Oryza sativa Japonica Group: one gene and its partner. The protein of the gene in region 2 interacts with the protein of the main gene of each other region in a pairwise test. Links are inferred from orthologs where the notes say so. Each region holds a gene or a part of one and is shown on either strand. Other genes may lie near its edges.

Region 1 (7,465 bases), on a different chromosome or scaffold from region 2:
TACATTTCTTCTTGTTCATCTGATAATTTGCTAGGACCGCCTTCTTGAAAATTAAATTGTTTATTCATGATATATATATATATATATATATATATATATATATATATATATATATATATATATATATATATATATATATATATATATATATATATATAGTGAATTGCTGGACGAGCATGTGGTGTGAATTTAGGTGGTATGGAGGAGAAGATAATCCTGTATCTTCCATTTCTAAGTCTTCTACAGACATCTTTTACAGCGCTTCCTAAATCAAATTGAAGAATCCGATCTAGTGTTGCATAGATAGAATTGACAAGACCATGATCTATAATGGTTTGGAGAGATATTTCATCATGGTTGTATGTGGGTAAGTTTCGGAATCTTTGGAGATTTATTTCGGCTTTGAGAACCATGAATCTATAGGATGGGTCAGAGATTACCTGATGATCATCTAACCTTAAGATAGGAAGCATGTATATGATTACTTGTATGGCTGGGTTTCTTTCTCTGCCTTATAAGAGATGAAAGAAATAATCTTGAAATATTTTCATTTGTCTCTCTTTAAACTTTTGCCAAACAAGGTCGAGGATGTCTTGCCCAAAGCAAGATAAAATTTGCTCTGTCTTGAAGCTCAATCTGGGTTGGAGATATTCATATGCGGTACTCATGGGATTTTGGCCTTTAAGTTTCTTTTGGTAAGAATCTTTGTAGGCACACGGTCTACATGGTGCTATTGGCTGGGTCCGAAGTATATATTGTGGAAGGAGGGAATTGGGATGATTATGCAATATATATGGTGTTTGGGCAAGAGCTGGTATCAAAGGCAAGAGCAACTTTTTGTGACAAGTCAACAAGCACGATCGCAGCACCTAAACGCCTTGCGGTGATATGGAGTCGCCAACCACCCGAGACCTGACGAAAACGGAGTCTAACTCAGACTCTACCGGTCAGACCGGCCACATGCCACCGGTCTGACCGGCTCTCCGGCGGCGGTCTGACCGGCCCACATATGGCGGTCAGACCGGCCCTTTCTGGAGGAAACCGGCAGAGCCCCAAACTTTCGCAATTTTTCCTATTTCGACCCTAGGTGCCAAATTTGGGTGTAAACAACAACCAAGATGAAATATCTTTCCAAACCTCTCCAAACCATTATAGATCGTGGTCTTGTCAATTCTATCTATGCAACACTAGATCAGATTCTTCAATCTGATTTAGGAACGTTGTAAAAGATGTCTGTAGAAGACTTATACGGTGAAGATAATGAATGAAGATCTTGTTATCCTCGACAAAAAACACTATTGAAGATAAGGAATCTACACTATTCAAGATAAGATATGCCTATAGTCAAAAGGCGATATTATGATACTTTTATTGAAGGTCAAAAGCGTCATCACCAAAGATTCTCTCCGTGAAGTCTAAAGGGATAATCATAAAACCCCTTAAAGTCAAATGGAGATATCATAAAGATTCTTCACCGAGTCCTATATAAGGGGCTCAGGAACACAACCACAACACATCTCACTCAACCATTCCTCTTCACCTCTCCACCAGCCATCACACTTCACTCCATCTAAGTGTTAGTAGATAGTTATAGTTATAACCTAAATAAAAGACTTATGAAATTCTAAGTGTGAGAGTCTATGTAAGAGTCCTTGTGAGAGTCATGTACCTGTATAATTACGAACGTGTTGTACCAAGTCCTTGGTGTAATCTTCAGAAGGATCTACCTTCAACCTATCAAGGTATATGAATGAACACATGGACCGTTCTATATAAAACTACTATGTTCTAAGTATCTAATTTACATTATGTCTTGTACATAATTGGTATTTACCGTTTGTCTTTACTTTCTATACTGCATTTATGTTTGCATAGAACTTTAAAAATTCAACAAACTGGATTACCATCCATTATGTTCTAAGTATCTAACATTCTTTTCTCTACCCCACACACTATTAAAACTTGATTAATTCACTCCCTTTGACACTTGTCTCCTTGTAGATGCCATCATACTCTACTCCCTCCGTCCCAAAATATAAGCATTTTTAGCTATGAATCTGGACAACTGTGTGTCCAGATTCATAGCCAAAAGTTATATTTTGGGATGGAGGTAGTATGTTAATATTATTATTGGAACTGTTCATGAATGTTACTTTATTTTTGAAATTTTCCATGTCTTTGCATGCATTATTTCATTTTCATATCTCGGGGGATTAGGCGCTCCCAACCTAGTGAAGTACACATTACAAATTCCAAGAATTATTTGAAACAAGTTATGATGTAATTATTACCCAAGGTCTCGTGCCTAGTATAAAATAGTTTTTCTGATATACATAACTAATAATCATTCTATCCGGTGGTATAAGTTAGTAACATGAAAGTGCATGGGTATTTAAGAGGCACAATTAGAGGTGTAAGGTCCAAGTTCTTGGGTCCTGGACAAAATGATTCTTTCGCTATAAACTTTCTGGACATATTACATTGATGTGCTTCTGATTATTTTATGTGTATAAAGTTTTGCTAAAGGTACTATTTGCGAGCATTTCTTAGAACAGTAAGAAAAGTTTTAATGAGCACATGTGTCTAAAATTATTAAGAAAGATTGAACGCTGATACCCAGTGGCGAAGCCAGGATCTAAGTATGAGGGGGCCCAGCTTTATAAGTGATTAAGATTATAAAAAAAATAGCGTAGAAAAGTTTATGCTAATCTAAATGTTCCCCATAGGTAATATACCGTATCAGTATAAAAAAACACACGACAATTTAAAACACAGGCAGGTTAATTTAGCCTTATGAGCAGACAGATTATAAGCAGTGATTGTACCATTCAAGCTAAAAGTGTAGGTAAACAGGAAAAAAATAAACAAAAAATAAGAACTAGATTATGGCAAAAAGAGCAACAAACTATCCATCTGTTACAAGTATTAACTAATATTTTAGAAATTTAAAATTTCAATGTTAGCCACCTAGTGATGTAAATAATACAAATGATTAGTACATATTACTCGGTATTCTAAAAGGAAAAGGAAATAGATGGTGTTGTGTGCCTACAAGGCTAGAGTAAAGACCTTATCGCTCTTGCTAAACATACATACGTGCAAGCACAGTGCCTAGCTAATCCATCAGCAGAATAGAAGGGTGGAGGGGGTGGGAAGAGGCCAGGCCCCTCCGCCCCCTGGCGTCGCTCTTGCTGATACTTTTCTTGTTCTGGTACATCTGCACAGATAAATTATAATGCCTTTTCATCTCTTCTGTCTGCTTATGGCTTTTTAAGATAAAACAGAGCATTGATCTTGCATGCTCTACACTTCGCGCACTGTTTGTTTTTGCCAATAAGTTTGCACACATGTAGCTGTCATTTGGGTAAACAAACTTGCAGATAGTGCCAAATAGTCATAAGAAAATAATTTTCATGGGCTCTTCAGATAATACATTTTTATTCGAATAGATTTTACAGTATCAGATATTAATCATCCAAGCATGCAAACTGTGTCTTGTTATGTGTTAGCTTCTTTATGACCAATACATTTTAAGAGCTCTGAACTGTAGCCCTTAAGAATAGTGAAAATATAGGCAACACTTCCACACCATAAATTGTCATGGATGCAATTGGAGCCTGCAATAATTTCATTAAGTTATAATTGATGTTTCACTAAAGAACTGAGAATGGATAGATGGATCATGTGCAGAAAATCTGAGTTACCCTAGTTTAGGAGGTGTGGTTTGCTCAGCATCATTTTGTTGGCTTGGGGGATTGAGTTCAAGACGAGCAGGAGTGTTGGCTTCCTCGATAACCGCAAAGTTGTATGGAGTTGTTGAATCTCGATTCGCTTCATTTTCTGCCCCTGTCTCATAGAGCTGAGGAGAGAGATTAGCTGTCATCATATAATGAAGCGTATATCCTGTGAAATCATCTATCTGCATTTATCAAGTACCTTCTTGTACAGCTCAGCATTTTCTTGGCGAATCAGGTTGACCTTTCTGTACAGTTCCATGTTTTCTTGGTGGATGAGACTTCCCTGCAAATAAGCCAGCAATAGAGTTAGCTTACTAGCTGATTCAAAGATTTAGCAATTGTACATGATGTTGTAGAACCTTTCGATTCAGTTCGTGGATTTCATCAATCATGAGCTGGTCCTGAAAACAACAATATTGATCTTAAGTTAATCCATTATATAATCAATCAGGTGCCCAACAAAAAAATATGGTTAGTAGGTTGACCTTTTTTGTCCGGATGCAGCGTATGCTCATTTCTAGCTGATTTTCTAGAGTTTGCAGTTCCTTGACACCCAATCCAGAAAGATCTTGCCCCATCAACTGCCTGCCATCAACCAATGGATGTTATAGTGTTGTTCTGATGATATACAGAGTGAATATTGACACTTAATTTTAGCTGATCAACAGACAGCTGTTAATTGATAATAAAAATAATTTGTACCTTTCTAGTTTAGGTATTGTAAATTAGGCCTGAAGGACAAAATGGAGTGTTTGAACAATAATTTACCAGGCAGAAAGCACAGGTGAAGAAAATGTGATATTCACTCTCCTTTGTAAATTTGGTCTGTCCGCCTTTGATGGGTGCTCAGTTCTGTTTTTCTTTTAGAGATAACCGGAAATGCATAAAAATCGAATGGCTGAAGGTATATATTTCTTACTTTTAAATGATATAGAAAATTCACGTGCCTTCTTCATTTCTTTTGTTTGTGAAGGTTAAACAATGCATTATCTATAGGAAATTTGGAATCAGCATATATCACTTTCATACTCTGTTTTTTCTTCTTTTTTCTAAGTATCATATACCCAAGCACTAGGTGCTTGTTTTTATGATCTGGTACTAGTTTATATTTACTATACAATCAGGTGCTGGAAGTATTATTGTCGCTAGCAGTTGCTGGATTCATGAGCAAGTCCCCACAAAAAAAAAAAGTTCATCATCAAGGGTTCATGATGCATGTATTTCATAGTAGTAGATATATGATGGTTTATGTTTTTCTATCTTGAGGAATTTTCTGATGGAACATTGAAAAACTTGCAGGGTTTTATGGCCATACCGATGATTTTCTTGCAAGCTGTGCAGTTGTTGTCTCAAGCTTGCTGCCTCCCTTTGCCAGAACTATTGGATATGAAAACAGAGTCAAGAAATGCAGAATCCAGGTTTGCCAAAAGCAGCAATATAAATATGTTGTGTATACCCATAGAAACATGCTGGGTTATCAACTCACTAGTTTTTTTTTAAAAAAAAGGAAACTCAATTACATTAGACAAGAAGACTATTTGAACTGAGGAAGTTATTGTGTATGGTAAAAGAAGTAACAAGAGGCAAACAAAGAAATTTGTTGTAAACAAATAAGGGAAGTAGTATTATCTTTCCAGTTTGAAGACAGTTTTTTTTTCCAGATAAGACGATGAGCTACCAACTCTATTGAATTTGGTACTCCATTATCAGTCCTCGTTTTGCGGGGTGTTACCCCCTATTGTAAAAAGCTTGTTTGTCTAAGCAAAATGCTTCCAAGTCCCACCAAAGCTAGATTAACTACAAAGTATCTGCAGAGTGCACAAGTCAGGTAAAAAACTTGTTTGTCTAAGCAAAATGCTTCCAAGTCCCACCAAGCTAGATTAACTACAAAGTATCTGCAGAGTGCACAAGTCAGATAAAAAACTTGTTTGTCTAAACAAAATGCTCCCAAGTCCCACCAAGCTAGATTAACTACAAAGTATCTGCAGAGTGCACAAGTCAGGTAAGTGATGATTATATCATCCTGGTACAAGCTTTATTGCGGTGAAAGATAAGCAGTTAGTCTGAAATCTGTACAGATCTGTCAGCTGTTACCGAAGCAAAAGGTTCAATGTGAACTTAAAGATGCAGTACTGATCCTTTTAAGAGGATTTAACACAGATTTAACAGGTACGTGCCCCTTGTGATTCTTTGTTAGTTTTCTTGTTATAATGATGTTTTTATCCTCTGAATTCAAGCAGGGTGTTCTGTATGCGAGCTGTGATGGGATGGTTCTCTTCAGAAGCATTTTATTTTAACTAAATTCAGAAGCATTTCGATGGCATGAGGACTGTTCGATTGACAATTTGTATGTACATTTCCACCGTTTACGCAGCTTAGGAATTGGACCATAATTAGTTGTGTACCTGCAAGTTTTGTATACGAATTATCCTGAAGGGTGTTCGGTGGATTGAATATTGCCCTTTTGGTTGTTTTGCGCATCGTGGATGCGGCTGCTCTACATTTTTCTTATAGGAAATCAGCTTCTGATAAAAGGGATTATTATCTGTGTGATCTACTGATCGATATTTTACCCCTCTAGCTGAGTTTATTAAGCCAATTGATTATCGAGTGGGATCCTCTCAACGACACATGAGCATGAGCATCCGGCTGTTTGTTGATTAAGGCCCTCTTTTGTTTATGTTTAAACCTAAATAAATAGATATTTTTTCGTTTGTATTTTTTAAGGTCATAAGTCACTCTATGTTAAGCTAAAAGCTAGGTTACAGTAGCTTTTCTGGTCTATGTGAAGCTAACAGTCTACTACTTAAGGTTTAAAAAACAGCGGCTTAAACAATAAAAATATTCAAAAGAACCAAAGCGAGAGGGCTTAAATGGTTCAGCCGTACTTTAACGGAAAATTTTTTGGAAAGACAAAATGGCAAAGTTGATTGTCACCCATTATTATCCAATTTCGACGTTTGGACAAATCCTCAAATTTTAAATGATAAAAAGTACTCCCTCCGTATTTTAAACGACACCGTTGACTTTTCGACCAATGTTTGACCATTTATTTTATTCAAAACTTTTATGTAAATATGAAAATATTTATGTCATGCTTAAAGAACATTTGATAACGAATCAGGTCATAATAAAATAAATGATAATTACATAAATTTTTTAAATAAGACGAATGATTAAACGTTGAACAAAACGTCAATGGCGTCATACATTAAAATATGGAGGTAGTAATTTAGAAGGTAAGATATTCCTTTACATGTGTGGTAGTTTTTATGGCTTGGGGACTGGGGACCAAGATCTGGTGTGGTTGCTAGTATAACTACAACTTAGCAGTTGCATTAGCAATGCATGATGAGAAATCTAGGTTTACACAAATGTTCTTTAATACATAATCTAGATCATCGAATCAAAATCTGGGGTTGCGAATCTGCCCTAGACTGCTTCGATCCTTATTGCACAGTTGCAGTAAGCATATAATCTCCATGCGGGGACAAGAAAGTCGATTAAGGTAATCAATGCTAGTCTTTGAGGAAGGCAACATAGGGTAATTCTAGTTGCTAATAGCTGCGTTCGCGACAATGATTTGTTGGGGTTTACACCCTCTACCATAATGACACTACCATTATAGACATTGATATGTGTAACACTAAGAAAGCGGAACTCACATATAAGTGACCGTAATGGTATAGTGATATTATGGTAGAGGATCCTCACCCGATTTGTTGTCC
Region 2 (8,610 bases):
TATAAGTCTTAAAAAAAACTCTCCATATATATACTTTCGTTTTTTTTCCTGGCAACAATTATAACGACACCAATTTTCATAAATAACCAACAATCCCATTGTTGCACCACATATTGGAATTCAAAGTTTAGAGTACTTGCAAAAAATTGAAGTTTCAAATAAAAATGAAAAACCATGGTTAATAAATCTAGCACAAGAATAAAGCAAGATATTGACATGCTTTAGAAGAGCTCTCCAAGTATACACTCTTCTAGATATAAACCTTAACAATCCCAAACTAAAAAAAGTTAAGCCTTGCCTTTACCATACTGCTACTACAAATCCTAGTATTATATATGTTCTTCCACACTTTCAGCTAAAAGAACACATTAAGTGCTTAATACTACTACGTGTTGTTAAATTTGCATGTAGTAATTCTGATATCCACACCAAAAATATCTTCCACATGCATGGCATGAGTCATGACAAGTAGGGAGTAGCAAATAAAGGAGGCCAGACTAAGGTGGTGTTTAGATCCAGGGACTTAACTTTAGTCCCTGTCTTTAGACATTAATTTAGAGTATTAAATATAGACTACTTATAAAACTAATTACATAAATAAAAGCTAATTCACGAGATAAATTTTTTAAGCCTAATTAATCTATAATTAGAGAATGTTTACTGTAGCATCACATAGGCTAATCATGGATTAATTAGGCTCATTAGATTCGTCTCGCAAATTAGTCCAAGATTATGGATGGGTTTTATTAATAGTCTACGTTTAATATTTATAATTAATTTTCAAACATCCGATGTGATAGGGACTTAAAAGTTTTAGTCCCATCTAAACAGGGCCTAAAGCCTGTAAAGTATGGCAGCATGCATGCTTGTGATAACCACTTGTACAACGTACTCCTATGGTAGGAGTATAGTGGGTGTACACAGTGTTAGTCCTATCATTGCTCATTGCCTCATTCCATGATTTCCATCTTACAAGCAAAGCAGTCATTAATGGCGACCCCATAGAAGAGGGATATATAGGAGAGAGGGTTAGCTAGCTGCTCAAATCATGGTATATGCATGCCTAAGCTCATCTTCCCCTCCCCCACAAGGCCACAACTAATTACCCAGCCTTAAAGTTACAGACTTACAGTACACAAGCTAAGGTAGTGTCCATGTGGAAGCCAATCAGAGAAGAGAGCAGAAGTGAGCAATCATGGCCGACCCCTCATCTCTCTCTCTCTCTCTCTCTCTCTCTCTCTCTCTCTCTCTCTCTCTCTCTCTTCTCTGGCATCTGTCACAGAGTGCTGCATCAGTGAGTGCAGGCAGCAGGCCAAGGCCTGAAGAGCCTGAGGTAAAATGGTTAAAAAAGGCTTGTACTGTGCCGCTGGTGGCAATGCAAGAGCATGTAAGACAGACAGGATACTAATGTCACACACACATAAAACCTTTTCCTTGTGGCATTCTTGCCATGCCCAGTGATGATAGGTGGGATAGATGGCAGCATGGCACGGTGCAAAGGAAAGCTGTGGCTGCCTGCTGCTGCTGATGCAGAAGCAGGGAAAGAGACCCAACCAATCACATGGATATAGGGGAGAGGGGAAATTGCAGTTGTGTGTGTGTGAGGGTGTGTGCGGCCATGGGGGGAGGTGAGTGAGGCAATTCTTTTCAAAGCTTAAAGCATGCATTAAATCCAAACCTTTTGGTTGTTTTGAGGAAGGTATATATGAGGGCCAGCAAGCATTGTCATGCGGCTCTTTTTCTCAGTTCCAAACAAGGCTTTGAAAAAAGAAGAAAGCCCAAGATATAATAAGGATGGCTGGAGATACTTGGATTGCATAAAGAAAAACACTTAGGGCGGGGGAGATTTGTTGCACAGGCATGCATGCACCATCTGTTTCCAGCCTACACTACAGTATAAAGAAAAGAGGCCACAAGTTTTGGAAAAGATGAAAGATAGGCTCCTCTCCCAATCCATCACCATCCCACTTATCAGTTTTGAGAACAACATCGGTCTAGTAGCAACTGCTCCTGAACCCACAGGAGGAAGCAAAAGCATGTCCATGCATCAGCAACAAAAGAGTAAAAATCAAAACAAAGCAAAGCAAGCTCGAACCTACATCGATCAACTACACCTAGCGCAACGCAACAGCCAACAGACACAGAGGCTTGCTAAGCTAAGCTAAAGCTTGCCATCGTGTTGCTGCATTCTCACAAGCCTAATTCTAAGAAGCTCCGAGTGAATTCTTGAAACAAAAACCAATGACATGCGCAGCAGCAGAAGAGATCGATGGAAAACCAACCAACCAACCAACCGATATGTAGTAGCATCAGTAGTAGTGCACTTGTGCTACCTCCAAACTTTGCTCCTCCCGAATGCAATCGACAATTCCTGCATGTCAAGAACACCAAAACCAGCAGCACAAGATTGATCAGCTAACTAACACGAGAAAAATTCTGAACTAATGCAGGTTAGCCATGAGAATTCTCGGTTTTTTTTTCTCACCGTGATGGAAGTGGAGGAGCTAGCTGATAGTCTGGTACATGGTGTGGTGTTTGCTCATGGTGGATTGGTGGTGGTGAAGTCATCTGCTCGCCACTGCTGCGGTCAGTGGTGAGAAGCCGAGGAGACAGACGACGGCGGCGGCGGCTTGTCGCCATTGCCGCCGCCGCCGCCGTTGTGCTCCTCGTCGCCCTGTATCCTCGCGGGGAGGCGGAAGCCGGAGAAGCCGATGCCGGGAGCGGCAAAACCGATGGCCGCCGACACGGAGGGGCTCAGCCCTCCTTGGTGGTGGCTCATCTGGTTGTCGGCTTCGACGGTCTCCGGCCATCCTCGCTCGGAGGGCTGGTTACTGGACTGAAGGGGTCCCCTCTGGAAGAAGAACTGGCTCTGGTGGCCACCCAGCGCCGCAGCCGCCGCCTGCATATGCGCCGCTTGCTGCGACACGTTGAACAGGTAGGCGGCGCCGCCGCCGCCGCCGGGGTCGGGCACGTTCCACGGCAGCATGCGCTGGTTCTGCGCCTGCTGCTCGGTGGCCCACATGGCTCCGCCGCCGAACGAGTAATTGGCGGCGCCGGAGAAGAGCGCCTGCTGCGTGGTGCCATTGCCGCCGCCGCCGCCGCCGCCATGGCGATGTTGCTGGTGGTGGAACATGGGGTCTGGTAAGGACTGCAGCGACAGCCGGAGCTCCTGGCTCTGGCTGCCGGTGCGGGACAGGAGGTCAGGCGTGTAGCTCTGGAAACCCATGGCCGACGACTGCGCCGCCGTGGTGGACGACGATGCCTCCCCGCCTGCGGTGCCACCCATGGGGAAGAAGGACTTGATCGTGTCGGCTATGGCGTCCGAGTCGAGCGACGGCGGGAGGAAGCTGGTCCCGCCGCTGCCCCCGCCGGCGAAGTCGAAGGCGGTGTGCGCGACGGTGATGGCCTGCGCCTGGTCGTCGGAGTTCTCGGCGGAGTCGGGGTGGGTCGAGGAGGACGGCGGCGCGGCGGCATTGCCCGCGCCTGCGCCGCCGGCAGTGGGCTGCCACGCCGGCAGCACGTCGAGCTTGTCGATGGCGTCCTTGGCGTTCTTGATGAGCCAGTCCACCGCCTTGCTCGGGCGGTCGTAGCCCAGCCGGTCCTGCACGTCGTAGAACTGGATGGCGGTGTGCGCCGACAGCCGCACGCGGCGGTCGCGCGGCCCGCGCGCCGTGCAGACCTTGCTGTGCCGGTCCTTCCGCCCTGTCGACCGCACAATGTGCCCGCCCTGCACCGCCACGATCTCCCCGCCGCCGCCGCCGCCTCCGCCCCTCGACCGTGGAGTTGTCGTCGCGGGGACAATCTCACCTCCACCTCCACGACCCCGAGTGTGGGACGCGGCGGGGGGCTGTGGCTGCGCCGTGAACTGATGCAGGTGGTGGTGGTGGCCGACGCCACCGAAGGAGAGGAGCTGAGGCTGGAAGCCGTGTTGGTGGTGGTGGGAGTGGCCGCCGGCGTCGCCCATGGGCGAGAGAAGGGCATACTCGGCGGAGGAGCCCGACAGCTGCCTCACGGACGCCGGCTGGAGGTGGAAGACGGGAACAGGCGGCGGTTCTTGGTCCTGCTGCACACCCTGGTGGTGGTGGAGCTGGAGAAGCCGGTGGTGGTCGTGCTGCTGCTGCTGCTGCTCATCTGCCTCCTCCTGTCCCCCGCTTCCTCCTCCTCCTACGCCGCCGCCGTCGCCGCCGTGGGTGACCCGGTGGTGGTGGTGCCTCGGATCCAGATCCCCCGCCGCCTTCTTCCCCGCCGCTACTGTTGCTGCTCCAATGCGCGTCCATCCACCTCGCCGGATCCCATAACTAGGTCGACAAGAAACACAAAAACCATCAAAAGAATCAACAAGAAGAAGGCCCCGGAGGAGGAGGAGGCTGCAAGAAGAAGAGGTGGTGGCCAGGGAGGGACTGACCCAGGAGAGGAGTGGGGGACTAAACTAGACGCAATCCCATGGATTGGACATCACATTTTAACAGGGGGGACGGCCAGCCAAAGCTTTTGCTCCTCTCTCACTCTCTTGTTGGGTTTGTGTGGGAAGCTTGGTGAGCAGGAGGCAGAAGGGAGGCAAGAAGACAGGATGATAAGAGTAGGATTTGTGCTTTAGTGAGGAGAGAGAGAGATAGAGATTTTTGCTTCACACTGCTGCTGCTGATGCTGGCTGCTGCTTTGTGTGTGAGTGTGTGTATCAGAAGCAGATGGAGCTTACCTTAGCTTGGCTGGGGCTGCAGGAGGCTGGAGCCCAAGTGATGAAGAGAGGTGGTGATTTGGGAATTGGGAAGGGATGGATGATGCTGGGGGATTGTGGGTTATGCATGCGTGGATGATTAGGACATCTGTTGTATTATTAAAAAACAGTAGACAACGATCGAATCGCGATGAAACTCGAACACACACACGTGTACGTGCCTTTGGGAAAAAAAATAAAAACCGGAGGCACACACCCTAGTCTCCATGGATAAGGAATTAAGCGCATCTCGATAGCTTTATGGTAATATATAGCAATTTTAACTATGTTTATATATACGTTCGTGTATATGTAACCGCTAGTATCTACTCGCACAATTGTGGAGTGATCTACTTAGCCGATTTTTCTTTTTTGTTGTACAGTAGACATGTTTGTCATGACATGAATATCTATGCTCTTCAGAAGCTAACTTGTGGTATTCTTAGAGAGTGCTTGTACTATAATTCTTGTAGTTGGGCAGTTGCATAGGCAAGTAAGATGGCAACTGGAGCTTTTTCAAGGGTATATGCCAATGGTTAATGATTTTCCTTTTTGGAAAGTCGAGAGTTGCAATATTAGTTTCAAATGTGAGACCTTTCCCCTGAGATACTTGTTTATAGATTGATGGTGTGTTTTATTTGTAGCCCCACCTTGCTAAAAGAGGGTTTTATGTGGCGTCATTGTCCAAACTTGCCCCAAGTTTGATCCATTGCATGGAAATAAGATCAAGCTATTTTTAGTTCATTTGATGCCAAAAACATAACGGGTCGAGGGACCGAGATGGTGCCCATAGATTTGTTCAAAAAAGATAGAAGGAAACACCCCTCATTGGCACATCTACATACAGGATAGTGTAAACTTGTACTTCCTCCGTTTCAGGTTATAAGACGTTTTAACTTTAGTCAAAGTCAAACTGTTTTAAGTTTGACCAAATTTATAGAAAAAGGTAGTAACATTTTGAACCAAAGACAAATTTATTCTAAAAATATATTCAATTATTGATTTGATGAAACTAATTTAGTATTATAAACATTACTATATTTGTCTATAAACTTATTTAAACTTGAAACAGTTTGACTTTGACCAAAGTTGTTTTATAAACTGAAACGGAGGGAGTATTTCCCTAGTTTTTATTCTTCTTATTCTTTTTTTTTTGAGAGAGAGAGAGAGAGAGAGAGAGAGAGAGAGAGATTTCCCTAGTTCTTCTGCTTAGTTGGAGTGCTCAATTTCATGGCTGCTATGGGTAAGCCGTAGTACATCTCAAAGGGAAGAATGCTAAAAACATAATTCAGCCCTATATGAGAATGAAAAGGCCAATTTATAATGTTGTACGATGGTTCAAGAAGTCTGGTGGTGAGACATGATCATAACTATAGCTAAGAGCAATTAACCAGCTACCCAATCATGCCGAGCCCACACATGTGGTGAAGTTTTGAACCTGCTAGACATGAACAGAGTTTGGAAATGACATGTACAGTATGGAGTACATAGTTGGATGTCTTAACTGAAGATAGATTGATTTGTCATAGTTAAAGAGGCAATTATATTGAAAGGACATGTAATGCATGCGAAATGTACCACTTCATCCATTTCAGAGAGTAATACACACTCCATCAAAGTTACAAAATGGATGTCACTTGACTCACTTCTACTGTACACCCTAAAGGAATAAAGAAAAAAAAACTTCTTTCACCACAGATTTTTCTCAGCCACAAGTACTTAGTATTTTTTTAAAAAAAATTATGTACACTATCAGTACCGCATAACATGTTTTCATGACCAGAAGTATAGAAAAAAAAATAAAGCGATTAGTTCTCTAGCTTTGTTTGTTCGGATCAATTGAGATGCATCTGATAAGGCGTGAAAAAAAATAAACAAGATAAAAAAAATATAATTTATAGGTAAGAATGTTATGTATGTACTCCATCCATCCAAAAAAACAACCTATAAGTTATAGTCTTAGCTAAGAGAATGTTATGGGACGGAGTGAGTATTGTTTACCGTTTAAATTAATAACAAGTCTTAAAAATAGACTACGATGACAGAACCCAAAATCAAATATAAAATCAAGCTTTAATTGTAAAATTATTTGTTTTCCCGCAAATTTTTTTTAAAATTTTGGCTGTGCATAAGAAGCCAACAAGCAAGAGCTAGCGAGAGCCCCCTTCTCCGTTCCGTTGCCGTCCCGTCCCGCCGCGCGAGATCCGTGGAACACACCAACTCTGTGCACACACGACCAATAAATCTCTCTCGCGCGCGCACACACTCTCCCTCCCTCCCTGCCTTGCCTGCCAATGCATGTGTGCAGTGCTGTCCCTGTGGTGTGATCTCTTACAACTTTTGGCCTCCTCCGGGGGCAGCCTTTAATTGCTTTGCCGAAAGAGACGTGGCCTTTTCATCCCACACACACATGCATATGGCCGATCGATCACTGGAACAGAGAGATGCACTTGCTCATCAGTTTGCTCCTCGATGGCATAGGTGGCATTAATGCGTGTAGCTCTACAGCTAATTAAACGAGGAGATTAATAAACAACTCGATCAGGATCTCGCTTTGCCGCTGCTGCAGCATGCATGCATGCTACTACGCTGCTATGGTTGGGTGTTTGTTTCCCCCTTCTGTATCATCATGTGGTGTTGTTGTTTCTCTCTCTCTCCTCTCCGGCCAGACAAGGGACATTCCAGTGGAATGAAAAACTCAGCATTAAAATCCCCAACACCCTGTCCTTGCCACATGATCGAGATGGTTATTGCTACGTAGTACTCCCCCTACTGCTGCTGCTGGCTGGCTGCTGCATTGGGCCCTCTGTCTCTGAATGTGTACGGGTCCGGCTGGCTCAGTGGCTCACGTGATCGCTGGCTGTCCAGAAAACTCACATAGGAGTAGTAATTTTTTTTTATTCACAGTGATATACTCCCTACTACTACTACTATATTATACATCCAAGTTGATCTGCAACGAGTATCTACGGCGTGTTTACTTCGTGTGCCAATTTTTTTTTAAAGTATATAAACACACATGTGAAGTATTAAACGTAGACTAATAATAAAACAAATTACAGATTCCGCCTGTAAACTGCGAGACAAATTTATTAAGCCTAATTAATCCGTCATTAGCAAATGTTTACGGTAGCATCACATTGTCAAATCATGGTGTAATTAGGCTTAAAAGATTCATCTCACAATTTACATGCAAACTATGCAATTGCTTTTTTTCGTCCACATTTAATACTCAATGCATGTGTCCAAATATTTGATATGACGAAATTTTTAAAAGTTTGAAGGGAACTAAACCCTGATTTTTTTTGCAAAACCGGGTGATACTCAGCACAGGTCTGCAAAACCGGGTTTCAGTCAAGATGGCTCGTACTCGGCTCGTACATGGACAAGCTTATTTACTTGTACAGTTTTATGGGAAAAGTAGTGGTAGTAGTACAAACACTGGAGTGACATTTTTGCAAAGGACAATTCATTGCCAAAGAATTTCTGTCGGAAAGATGATAAAAATAAGTCCAGTCCTTAGTGCCCAGTCAAATCAACCAAACCGTGCACTAACGACGTAGAGAAGGTGTTAATTACACCTAATTACAGAGGCAATCAATTCTTTCTTTCATCAAGGAAAGGAAAAGGCAGAGTACGAGTACTTGCTACTGTTACTCCCAGTTGTGATAAGGGCCTTTAGCTGAAGTAGCTTTTCTTAAGGATGCGTCATGTCAAATCGATTTGATTAGTCGATTTTGTTTGATTTGATGGGTTGGACTGGACTATACTTGCGTCCGGATTCTGCACCGGTCGGTGGCGCACCCAACAGAATCCGGCCAGTACAGCCGCAACGCTGGCAGGCGCCTCCTTTTCCCTCTCTTGTCACCTTCTCCCTCTCTTTTTTTCCTCCT

The links. The genes of interacting proteins can lie anywhere in the genome.
Region 1: the proteins of transcription factor PCF5 (region 2) and MADS-box transcription factor 27-like interact in binary tests that used the Arabidopsis thaliana proteins (3 or more experiments, as listed by UniProt). The link is inferred for Oryza sativa Japonica Group from reciprocal best matches to the Arabidopsis thaliana genes TCP4 and AGL21.

Annotation. Positions count from the first base shown.
Region 1 is NC_089038.1:23,538,744-23,546,208, reverse strand, and holds the end of MADS-box transcription factor 27-like, read right to left. Parts: intron 6,272-7,465; exon of another isoform or gene 5,978-6,271; intron 5,907-5,977; exon of another isoform or gene 5,816-5,906; intron 5,740-5,815; exon of another isoform or gene 5,115-5,739; coding exon 5,053-5,114; exon of another isoform or gene 5,037-5,052; intron 4,598-5,036; coding exon of another isoform or gene 4,540-4,597; exon of another isoform or gene 4,391-4,539; intron 4,323-4,390; coding exon 4,223-4,322; intron 4,139-4,222; coding exon 4,097-4,138; intron 4,021-4,096; coding exon 3,937-4,020; intron 3,860-3,936; coding exon 3,705-3,859; intron 3,618-3,704; coding exon 3,599-3,617; 3' UTR 3,392-3,598; downstream 1-3,391. UniProt on the Arabidopsis thaliana protein: Probable transcription factor.
Region 2 is NC_089035.1:6,229,443-6,238,052, forward strand, and holds transcription factor PCF5, read right to left. Parts: upstream 4,740-8,610; 5' UTR 4,406-4,739; intron 4,399-4,405; exon of another isoform or gene 4,299-4,398; 5' UTR 3,965-4,298; coding exon 2,588-3,964; 3' UTR 2,486-2,587; intron 2,372-2,485; 3' UTR 1,918-2,371; downstream 1-1,917. UniProt on the Arabidopsis thaliana protein: Transcription factor playing a pivotal role in the control of morphogenesis of shoot organs by negatively regulating the expression of boundary-specific genes such as CUC genes, probably through the induction of miRNA (e.g. miR164).